Oryzias latipes: one gene and its partners. The protein of the gene in region 2 interacts with the protein of the main gene of each other region in a pairwise test. Links are inferred from orthologs where the notes say so. Each region holds a gene or a part of one and is shown on either strand. Other genes may lie near its edges.

Region 1 (3,651 bases), on a different chromosome or scaffold from region 2:
GTGAAATCTAGTTTGCCTGAAAACAAAAGTCTCAGTCGAAGCTGCACGTGGATGTGAGGCATGTTTGTAAAATTACACTAAAGTCCAGTTTGATCTGCATTTTGGAGAAGAAACCTTGAAGTTGGTTGATTTTGTACCTAATGGACAAGTAAAGCTGAGTCACAGCAACAGATACATTTATAGAGAATTAGCAGGAATGAAGTCATTCACCATCCATCCATCGTCATAAGCCACCTTTGGGGTCAACCCAACTACTGTTGGGCGAGACAGAGTACACCCTAAACAGGTCTGCCCAGGGCTCCAGACTAACTTTTTTCACTAGGAGCACAGTGGCCCCCAACTGAAAATTTTAGGGGCTCAACCAGAAAATTTAGGGGCGCATACCGTAAATCAACATTCTAACCAAATCTACTAATTTCCCCTGTATTACTAATAAATACTTTAATAATAGATGCAGAAATTACAATGTGCTGTTTCTAATTCAGTGTCACATTTTATTCTGCACTTTTGAAGATGCAACAAGAAGGTAAACTGACAGCACCATCGCTGTCATGACAGTACAAATAAGTAAAGAAAACGGATGGAAATTTATCTTTGTGACACCAAATAGGTGCAGCCAAGATGCACAATAAGCGTGTTTGAGATCACCCAGGTGAACTCAACGCTGCACAGAACCCCTGGTGTGTGACATATATTTTTGTTTTTGCTCCAACATCAACTGTCAATCATCACAAAAATATCGTGACAAAGGGGTGGGAGCAAGGGGCAAACCTACCCGGACACAGCTGGAAACTGAACTGACTGAAAGCTGCCCTACAGACTACAAAACAATGCATTATGGGACATGTGTCCTGATGGTTTTTGTAGTGGAGTGATTAATTAAAATAATTTAAAATACCAATTCATTAAAAAAGGCTACATACATCACAAAACATTAAAATAATCATAAAATATATAATAACACAGATCATACTAAGGGGGAGAAGAATATTGAAACTAAATTGAATGTTAAGGACAACTCCAATTTCCTGTTCTCCTTCAGTCTTGCTGCAGATTCGCCTTCATCTCACAGCCCCCCCCCGCCTGGTCTCCCCAACGATTCAGGCGAGCCGCCGGTTCATCTCAAACACGTCTGTCGTTGCATTTTCCCCACGTATTTTCAGTGAGTCTAAAACTAATGTTGTTTTTGCTCGAGTGTGTTTAAAGTTCAAGCCCCGTTAGCTGTCACGCATGTAGGTGTGGGACATTTATTCTCCTCAGCTGACCCGACTCCCGCGGGAGCGGTGTGCTGCCGTAACGGCCGTGCATAACCGTTTGATGCGCCGCCGTAACCAAAACCTAAACCTTCCTCCGGTTCTGTGTGACCCAGAGAAAAGTTCAGCACGGACTGCATGTATTTAGAAAATTACGAGCGAATAGATACGTTCTAAAGGAAAGTAAGGAACTCCTTAATGTGGTACGGGGAGGGAGCTGTCAGGTGTCCTGCTTTCAGGCCCTGTCATCGTCAAGCCCCCAAGAGTCATATACCCCACTGTGATTGGTTGGTCAGCTCCGCGCACGACAATGAAAAAGTGTCATTCATACAAACTGGCGGTCTGCAGTAACATTAAACCTTCATATTAAACATTAAACCTTCAAAATATCATCTTGGGGGCCGCAAATAGCCCGCGGGCCGCGAGTTTGAGACCCCTGCTGTACATTCTGGCACTGGTACACTAGCCGCAGGTCGGAAGAACGAATCAATAGTTCGCTTACCCATAGTTCAGACGCACATATCAGGTTGTGATATTTGTCTCAGTTTCCTTCCCACAGATGTTTACGCGCACTCGATTATCTCTAGGCCCCGCCCCCTCCACGCATTTTAGCCACTCACAGTGGCTTTCCCTATTCTTCTCACACGCAGTGGCCGCCTCACAGACAGGTATCACGCGAGAGTGTACGTGCTCGCGTTTCATGAGTATGTGCGCGAGTGTGTGTGTCTGCCTGCGTCCGTGTGGGCTTGCGTCTCATTGATTATTTCATTGATGATTGACGTGCCCCTTCCACATTTAATGTATAAAAAATACGAAGGGTGGGGGAGGCAAATTTACTGGTCGCGCATGTGCGACTGGATGTAAAATTCAGTCGCACACTCTCAAATTTTGGTCGCAAAATGCGACCAATTGCTCGCAGTCTGGAGCCCTGGGTCTGCCACTTACTCTCACATGTACACCTAAGGGCAATTTAGAGACAATTCATATATGAAGCTTTTTGGAACGTGGGAGGAAACCGAAGAAAACCCACCCATCAATGAAGAGAACATGCAAACTCCACACAGGATGGATCCAGACGGGATTTGAACCAGGGCCTTCGAACTGTGAGGCATGAATGCTAACAACTACCCCACTTTTTACTGATGATTTAAAAAAAAGGAATGTGGTGTTTAAGTGTTACTTAAGGTTAGCAGCCTAAAAGTAGTAGTCCCAGAGCAGAGCCCTGTGGTACACCAAAACTAAGAGGCTTGTGAGAATGACTTAAATCTCTACAAAGTTGTGGAGGTTAATTGTGTGATTGGTTCTTTGAGTCTCCATGAACCCGGAGTAAATGACTCACCACATGTCGATATGCATGGAGTACTCTGTGGATCCCAGCAACACATCGGGCGGCCGATACCACAGTGTGACCACCTCATTGGAGTACGTTTTTGTGGGGACAGATTTGGCTCGTGCCAGACCTAAACAGCACAGGATTGACAGTGAATAAATATGTAATATTTCACAAATGAACATTTCCTCAGTAATTTCTATGACTGTCTGGGTGTAGCTGCTCAAAAACCATCAACACCGCTGGTGTGTTTGGCTTCATACTTTCAGCATCAAACTGAGGAAGCTCGGGAGAGAGGGGCCTGGTTGCTATGATACGGGACATAAAGGCTGCCGAAGTGATCCGGGCAGAAGGAAGCCCCCAGCGTGTTAATAAAATGAAATGAAGCTGACAAACAGCGTGTTTTTAAACAGCACTGGTGGAAGGAAGCCCCATACTGCAAAGGGTTTTAGGTCTTCCTACCAAAGTCCGCCAACTTGAGCTCGCCCTTGTCGTTGATGAGCAGGTTCTGAGGCTTCAGGTCTCTGTGGAGAATTTTTCTTTTGTGACAGTAGGCCAGACCGCGTAGCAACTGGAACATGAAAATCTGCAGGGAACCCAAAAAAAAAAAGAAAAGGTAAGAGAATTCAGCGTCCATGTATCTATCTACACAGGGCGGGAAATTAATGTTTTACATTTTTAAAAATAGATTTAGTCCAGAGAAAGAAGTGGACACTTTTAAGACAAAACATCCAAAATGTTAGAAAATGTCATATTTTTCAGTTGGGCTTCTTTGCATTGTTGGTCGGGGGTGCGACTTATACTCAGGTACGACTTATATGTGATTTTTAAAAAATAAATAAGCTCCTTTGTTTGTTAATTCCCCACCAACAATCACTAGAGGGCACTGTAGGTGTTGGTATCAGTGTTTGTTGCTGACAGTAACGCAGAAGAAGAAGCACTGCTCAGACAGACAGGCGGTGTTCACACTAGGGTTGGGCGATGTCCCTTAAATTGGCCGTTGACGATGTTTGCTGTCAACCATCGGGATGGACGATGATATCGCTGAGGGGGGGGGAGGGGGGGGGG
Region 2 (4,391 bases):
GTGGGGAGGTGGAGCATGAGGGGGAGGAGGAGCCACTTCACTTCCTGGCTCTGCTTCTGCAGGAGGAGCTGGTACAGGAGGAGAAAAAACAACAAGTTAGATGTTTCATGACCTCGAATGACCTCAGTTCTCCAACAATGAAAAGAGGAGCCCTCCTCGTTTGGATTAAGCCCTAATCAGATTGGTCTGGAACAGCCTGCATGTTTTGAAACAGACGAACTGATTACATAAGTCTGATTTATGAGCTTCAGTTCCTATCTAGCCAAACATGCAAACAATAAATCTGCCATCAGATCAGCAAACTGGAGTATAAACACTAATCCTGTTCGGTTCAACACAAACAGAAGTTCAGGAACAGCTGCTCACCTGGTGGTTGAACAGCCGGTAGTGGGGGCATGGGACTCTCCAGTCGGGGAATTTTTGATCCAGTTTGTTCTGCAAATTTAAAATTAAAAAAATTAATAAAAAAAAAAAAAAACGGAACAAATATTTAAAATATTCTCTCTTGCAGATTTTTTCTGCGAAAAAACGAAGAAATTGTTTCACCTGGAGCCTTTGGTTCATCTTTAGGGGATGTCTGAAAGAATTTACAAAAAAAAAAGCGAGTTTACCATCTGACAGCTCGTAATGATGTTAAACAGCTGCTGCGTAGACGACTCCTGCTTACGTGGGAGCGTTTGAGCTGCCGTGCGGGACTGCCCCCCTGCGGCGACGTCTTTTTTGGCGGTGGGGGAGGCGGGTTGGAAACTGGGAGCTGCCCCTGCGGCACCGGCGACGCAGTGGGTGTGACAGCCGCCGTCTTCTCCTTCTCTTGGACCTGCTGAGGGATGGGCTTGTTCCCTTGAGAATATAGGTCCAGGATCTGGTGGCAGATGTCTGAAGGGACCAAAGGAAGCTGTGACTGAAAGCCCCACGTTTTTGAGGAAAACAATAAAGTTTTTTTTTTTTTTAACCTTCAAGCAGCTCAACTGGGACGTCCTGCACAAACTGCTCCCACCAACGCCGCGACGATTGCTTGGAGGTCCACTCCTGGATGTCAAACTTACAAAGTCGGCCTGCTAGGTACATGACGGCCACGGCGATGATCTCCGGCTCCCACTGCAGGGACAGCATGGTGCACAGGCTGCCAGGGACGCAAATAAAGCAGTGAAGGCCTTATCTCAACTGTGTAGATCGATTTATTCTAACTCAAACACACATTTAGCAACAACTACAAGATTCTTAAAAGCTCAATGCGAGAATCAGCACCTCTTACCTGTCATTGACGAAGGTCCAGGCCATTTGGAGCACCTTGCATACTTTGTTCTTGTCTCCTGAAGCACCAAAACAAAACATGAGTCTTTCTGAGCTCCATTGGGGCAGCGGTTCTGCACGAACCCCGTCCCACCTTTCAGCTGTTTGACGTAACGCAGCAGGAACATGTAAGGGTGCTCCACCTGCAAGTCAAACTTGATGGTCTGGAGCAAAATCCTCTCCAGCACCATCACCTCCTCCTGTTTGAACAAGGTCAGACATGACTGTCCTGCACTTCAGACTCACAGAAATGTGTGGCATGAAAGATTCAAAAAAAAAAAACTGTTTATTAAAATAGAACTGCACCTTCGGATCATCTCCAAACTGGGCGAACTGGACATCGTTGAGTAAACTGCGAGCTGTTTTAATGATATCTTTACACTTCTTTGGCGTTTCCTCCACTTTCCCAGCCAAGAAAAGACAACAGGCACCCGTCACCTGTAGAAACACAAACCCAAAATCCCACATTAGCTTTTGTGTTAATGAAAAAAAAAAAAAAATACCAAAAGAGTAAATAAATCATGAACATACATATCTGGGAAACTGCTTGAAGGAGTGAAACATGTAGAAGCGATGGAAATATATGATGCCAGTTGCAAGAGTGTCATAATGTCTGCTGGCAGTTAAGAATCCATTTCAGAAGGACAGAAGCATAGAAACAGTAAATCCCTCACCATAGGAGTTTACTTCATGCACAATAGAAGCCTTAAAATCGCCCAATCATGATAAACAAGTGAGCTAAATGTACAGAGAATGCATTCAAATAGCTGCAAACTGAGACCCGTTGCTCAGATTACTGAACCCATCGAGGATACAGGCCGAGTCGAGTCCCCACGTCAAAAATGAAGCGGGCTCCTTCTCTCCTGTACCGGGCCTCGGTCCCGGGGTCAAGACCCTCGGACTGGGAAGGGGTGTGGGCTAAATCCTTCTTGTCCCAGTACCAGCACGGCTTGATGTGATCCAGGAAGGACTGGCCGCCCGAGAAGTCCTTGGACTCCTTCATTGACTGAGGGGAGGTGGTGGATGGACCTGCTGTGCTGCTGGACTGCTGAAAATAGCAATAAATGTCGATATTATGGACAACTTTGGTCAGTCAGATGTAGCTCTTTCATTCTGATTTAAATACAATTTTGTATTTAAATGGGCCTAAATTTATTTAGAGAGTCGTGTAAAAACGTCCAAAAAATAAAATAAAAGCCAGAGATTCACAAATTAATAAAAGCTTAGAAAATGATCACCAGTGTTCACCGCTTTCTCTTTAATGATGCAAGTATATTAATAAATAAACCTAAAAATTGGGATTTTTTTTTGAAGAAAAAAAACAAAAACTCATAATGGGGGGGGGGGGGGGGGATGTTCCCAAAACATGCCGGCCAGTAAAGCGATGAAACTGAATGAATGTACCCGCTAACGGCTAGCAAAGCCGCCGGAGCCGACAAGCTACGATAAATAAGTCAAATTTGGAGTCACCGGACTCCGGCGGAAGGACGCAGCACGTACCTTTATCATGTAGGCGACGACAGGATTAACCGGAGAGCACAAACGCGACACGAGACTTCAGTTATTCACCCAAAGTTAGCGACAGATTCGAACAGAACACCCGCTGGCACAACAGAATCGCCATTTTGAAGAACGTCAAGTGCGGCTGACGGACGTCATGACGTCACAAGCAACCGCGTGCGCTGCTTGAAGAGAAAACGTTACCGTGTACTACGTAGAACCTACTGGAGACGTTTTGTTCCCGACAGTATCTGGAAGAAAGGCTGGACTGTGACCCAAAAATTTATGATAAATAATAAAATGAAAGAAGTTTCTTATAAAATAATTCACAAAATTTACCGCACCAATCAATTTATGCTAAAATACATTAAAACAATTGACCCTAACTGTACTTCTTGCAAAGAATTTCCAGAAACAATTGACCATCTTTTTTGGAATTGTACTATAATTAGAATATTTTGGAAAAAATGTTTGCAATTTATTAGAAATCGCATTCACCCCAACTTTAATCTAAAGTTTGAACATATAATTTTTGGCCTTCATAATAAAAATTTGGAGTCAAACAAAAAAACTCATAGTTAATCTTGTTATTATTTTTGGCAAATTTTATATACATACATTTAAATTTTCTCCATCTTCTATTTTTCCCTATTTTAATCAAACAAATTGAAATGTATATCAGTAACATCTCCAAGAGTCTTAATCAGAAAGCAGTATGTCTATATGAAAGTTGCAGAAACCTGAATGTTTTTATGTAAAATGTATTTAGTATGTATGCTCCCCTGGCATATCTGAATTTTATTTAGTAAAATTGTGTTTTGTATCGTACTTACGTTTTGTACAATAAAGTTTAAAAAAAAAGAAGAGAAAACGTTATTTAAATGTATAGAATAGCAACTTACTGCTTTGACTGCTCTTGTTTATAATCTTTTTTCGTCCTTTATTCTTTATGTTCCCCTGGCACATTTTGTTATTCTTTTTTTATCTGTGTACTTAAAAACTGACTTGATTTTGTATCCTGTACATCTTCAATAAAGTTTTGAAAGAAAAAAAAGAAAAGAGGAAACGCTACAGTAACACACTGGTGGAAAAATGTGATTTTTAACATCATTGCAGAGTCCAACTTTATTACCAATTGACCCAACTAAAATACAAATAGGTCAAATCTGTTTTTCTTCTTCACGTAACACAAATCGCCGCATGTGCTCACTCTTTCAGAAGGATGTTGTGTCCATTCCCTATGTACTTTATTGGAATAATTGAGTTTACCAATCATGGAAAAAGATCTGGAATCTACCAGAAAAATATTTCTTAACCAATAAAGTGAAAGAAATCTCATTTAAACTAATCCATAAGTCTACCCAACCAAACTGTATCTCCAAAGGTTCAAAAAGGATGTTGATGTCACCTGCTCTTTTTGTCAAGAACACCCTGAAGATGCTGTACATTTATTTGATCATGTCCCTTTTCCACTAGTCTCTGGTCTAAAGATTGCAATTTCATATCCGCCCACATTGACACAGACTCTATTTAGAACATGTTATGTTTGGCCTCACCCACTGTCCATCTCATAAAAAGAACAATCATACAGCATTAAT
Region 3 (3,651 bases), on a different chromosome or scaffold from region 2:
TGTATGTGGCACACTGGCACCGCAGCAAATTCCTAGTTTGTTTTGTTCACTGACGATGGCAATAAAAACTCCCTTGAATCCTTGAATTGGAACCCCTTGTTTAAGAACTTCACCAGAGTTTCCATACCTGCGAAACATCGTAGAACTTCAGTTCTGATGCGGATCAAATGCGCTTGTGTGATATTGCCCAACAGTTTGCACGCATAAGGCCATACGTTTCAGAGGAAACCACCTCAGACATGTTGATTTACTCGATAAGTGCAAAGTGATGGTGACAACAAAAAGTGCTCGAGTAAAGAAGGAGGTGCTGAGTGGTACAAGACAAGTGCACACGTCAGAACGCAGAAAATCACGACACGGAGGCAACTCATTGGAGAAAACATCAGATAAGTGGTAGATTTTTAAGTAGGATTTCCTGTGCTCTCCATGTCTCCCGGTGACTGTTTATCCAAGCATGATCAGACAAAAACAACAAAAAAACAACAGAAAGATTCTGATTTAAACATGTCTTAACAGGAAATGACAGAAATTTCTCTCCTGGTGATTACGTCAGGGTTTCATTAACCGCTTCCTTCCATTTCCCTCTGAGGCACCAAGTACCACCCCCTTCTCTGGCAGAGAAAAGATCTGAGATAAGAACATTTTGGTCATTCAGGAAGAATGTATAACCACAGCTGGTCTATGTTTAACTATCAGTGGCTGAGTCTTGCAAAAAAAAAAAAAAACAATCTTTAACTCTAAGAAAATGTTTAACTAGCCTTAAAAAAAGACAAAGCTGCAATGACAAAACTCACAAACCCCCCAGGGTTTTGAGTAGAACTTATTGTATTGAACAAGACCAGTTAATAATTACTGAAACAAACTAGTCTTTTCAAAGAACAGCGTTTGGGTTGTTTCAAGCAAACAGTGTATAAATGTTTGATTAATATCTCATGAAAATAAGTGGGTTTGCATGGAATGAAACATTTCCATCACAGAAAACAATAACTCTTGCTACAAAGAAACGGTATTCTTCATACTTATGTAGAGTCCTAATTATGAGGGGAGAAAAAAATAACTGCCATACAAAGGAAACAGCTGTCCGACCTTTTTCAGCCAAAGGAAACAACAGCACAGACAGATAGACGAAGTTATCCGGGCTAACGGACGGGCGGGTGAACGATGGGGAGTACTCACATGGATCCCTGCTAATGAACTGCGGCCCGGGGCTTTGCTGAGATGGAGGGGGGTTGGGAGTGCCAACCAGCTTGTTTTTGGCCATTTTGGTGTTGGCCTTGGCGAACTCCAGCCGCAAGGTTTGGGGAATCTCTGGATCAAAACGGACGCCCTGCAATCGGAAAGACTGGTTAGCAAGAACAAAATGTTAAAAAAGGAAGTCTGAGGGAACACAGAGTCCCGGTTTCTTGAAAAAGTAACGTGTGATTTAACATATGAACAGAATTCTAAGTATAGACAATTTTGTTATTATTTAACAATCAATATCAGTTTTTTGTCTTATTAATCTTTTAAAACCAGCAACACCATAATAACACGCTCTTTGACATAACTCTTCATGCGTAAACACCTCTCTAACGTAAAATCTTGCATTTCAGTGGAAAAAAGTTCCTTTTCTCCGCTTTCTAATCCACTGGAATCAAGTCAGTTGCACAAACAATAGAAGAGTTATGGATATTAAAAAGATAAAAATAAAAAATAAAAGATGTGAACACTGGAGCTAAAGTTTTGGTGCTAAAGGGTTCAAGCTAAGCATAAATCAGGGAGGCCTTGGGTCTCATTTTCAGAGACTTTGATGTGCGTCGATCGGGGATTTGAACCCACAACCTTTAGGTTTTGGGGCGGACATTGAACAAACACAGAGCCACCGGTTTGATCAAAAAACCATGAAAAGTTCAGGATTAAAATTTTATCTCTAAAACAAAACAATCAAGGATGTTTCAAAGATTTTGAAACACAGTTTAAATATTTTTACTGTCAACAGCAGAATTGAAAAAAAGCAAACTTAAGTGGAACAATTTTAGAAGTATATTAAGTCAATATATAGAAGTATAAAATAATATAATTTCTGTACATTTTATAGATTGAATAAAACAATAACTCTAAAATATGTTTTGTTTGTGTATAAATGGCTATGTCTATATGTCCAATGGATTTTAAAAAGGGTTAAGATATTATCTTTTCCTGTATTAAGAAGAGTCGTGAATTTTTATGACATTTTAAAGCAATGTATCGATGTGCTTTTTTTCCTCCTATTTAAAGCTTGCTTTTATTTATTTTCAATAGTTAATTATGATGTCGGCTTATTGGTTCTCCCAAATTGTTTTTTTTTGGGTCATTTTGATGGGGCTAAGATTGGTTCTCAACCCAAAAGATGTTCTGAATGAGCTCAGTTACAGACCAAAGTCTGACCGAGTGGCTAATTCTGCTCAGCTGTCATGTGTTGATTTGATATTTAATGGGCAGAAAGTGACAGATTTACTGCCTTCTGTTAGATGAAGCGATCCAGAGGACTAAATGACACCACGTCTTCACTTCTGTTGTTAAGATATCCAGAGGAGGTGGTGGTGGGGGGGGACGTGGCTGCACGGGGAGCTGTCACTTTGAATGCTTTTCATCTTTCGGGGTCCCGTGATAAAATTAGCTGCTGTTCCATCGCAGCCTACAGTGTGTGTTGGTTGGGAATTAAGATTTGTCACCTGACGACACAAACCTGGCTGCAGCACAATGACATTTCCAACAAAAGCACGTGAATCGAACCAAAATAACTCCCGTTTTGCGTCGACGCATCTTTGATTTAGACCAATTCTTCAGATGCCGACGGGGAAGGCTCGCATCGCAGATGGACGTCAAACTATGGGTGGAGATTAGGCCTGCACAATTACTCGCAAATTTATCGCTAGCGCGATTTCAAGCTGTGCAATAATCATATCGCAAAAGTCGGCAAAAATGGTAAACCTTAAATGTGCTAAAACAATTTTATGGCAACTTGAACTATTTAATGATTTGAATAAATCGCTTTCTCCATTTGACCAATCAGATGGAGTCCTTCATGTTGTTGACCAACCAGATGGAGTCCTTTATGTTGTTGACCAATCAGATGGAGTCCTTTATGTTGTTGACCAATCAGATGGAGCTTCTTATGTTAGATGTTGCCCTCCTAATTAGACGAAGGTCATTTGGAGAATAATTTAAGGAATTTTGACTCTTATTAAATTAAACTTTTGCAGTGAAATTGAAATGTTTTTATTGTTTTTGTTAGTAGTTCATTTATCGCAAGTTATATCGTCATCGCAATATTGATCACTAATATCGCGAGTTTTCCTCATTTCGTGCAGCCCTAGAGGAGATGATTGGGAAATGCAAACTATATGCATCTTTTTTTTTTTACAACAAAAAATTACACATTTTACATCTATAAAACAAAGCAATATTTTTTGCTCCATTTAGTTGGAGCAAAAAATAAAAGGCGTATAATTAACAAGAACTAAAAACGGCTTCAATTTAAGAGTCATTTGGTGGTTTGGGAGAGACCCTTAACAGCACAAAGGTCAAATCAGTCAGGGGGGGGAAACAAGTCGGATGTTGTTTGCAGAATGCAGAAAAAAGAAGTGGTGGGGGTTGGTTTGTTGAGCCGTTCCTGCGGGCTGAGGCAAG

What was found.
Region 1: the proteins of ccnk (region 2) and cdk18 interact in binary tests that used the Homo sapiens proteins (3 or more experiments, as listed by UniProt). The two-hybrid records come from large-scale screens. The link is inferred for Oryzias latipes from reciprocal best matches to the Homo sapiens genes CCNK and CDK18.
Region 3: the proteins of ccnk (region 2) and RNA-binding protein with multiple splicing interact in binary tests that used the Homo sapiens proteins (3 or more experiments, as listed by UniProt). The two-hybrid records come from large-scale screens. The link is inferred for Oryzias latipes from reciprocal best matches to the Homo sapiens genes CCNK and RBPMS.

What each region holds. Positions count from the first base shown.
Region 1 is NC_019863.2:24,047,258-24,050,908, reverse strand, and holds part of cdk18 (cyclin-dependent kinase 18), read right to left. Parts: intron 3,170-3,651; coding exon 3,046-3,169; intron 2,714-3,045; coding exon 2,593-2,713; intron 1-2,592. UniProt on the Homo sapiens protein: May play a role in signal transduction cascades in terminally differentiated cells.
Region 2 is NC_019882.2:3,583,529-3,587,919, reverse strand, and holds the start of ccnk (cyclin-K), read right to left. Parts: upstream 2,941-4,391; 5' UTR 2,803-2,940; coding exon 2,794-2,802; intron 2,342-2,793; coding exon 2,109-2,341; intron 1,907-2,108; coding exon 1,825-1,906; intron 1,732-1,824; coding exon 1,600-1,731; intron 1,494-1,599; coding exon 1,388-1,493; intron 1,314-1,387; coding exon 1,256-1,313; intron 1,124-1,255; coding exon 954-1,123; intron 877-953; coding exon 668-876; intron 578-667; coding exon 547-577; intron 436-546; coding exon 367-435; intron 69-366; coding exon 1-68. UniProt on the Homo sapiens protein: Regulatory subunit of cyclin-dependent kinases that mediates activation of target kinases.
Region 3 is NC_019876.2:8,091,911-8,095,561, reverse strand, and holds part of RNA-binding protein with multiple splicing, read right to left. Parts: intron 1,328-3,651; coding exon 1,177-1,327; intron 628-1,176; coding exon of another isoform or gene 545-627; exon of another isoform or gene 1-544.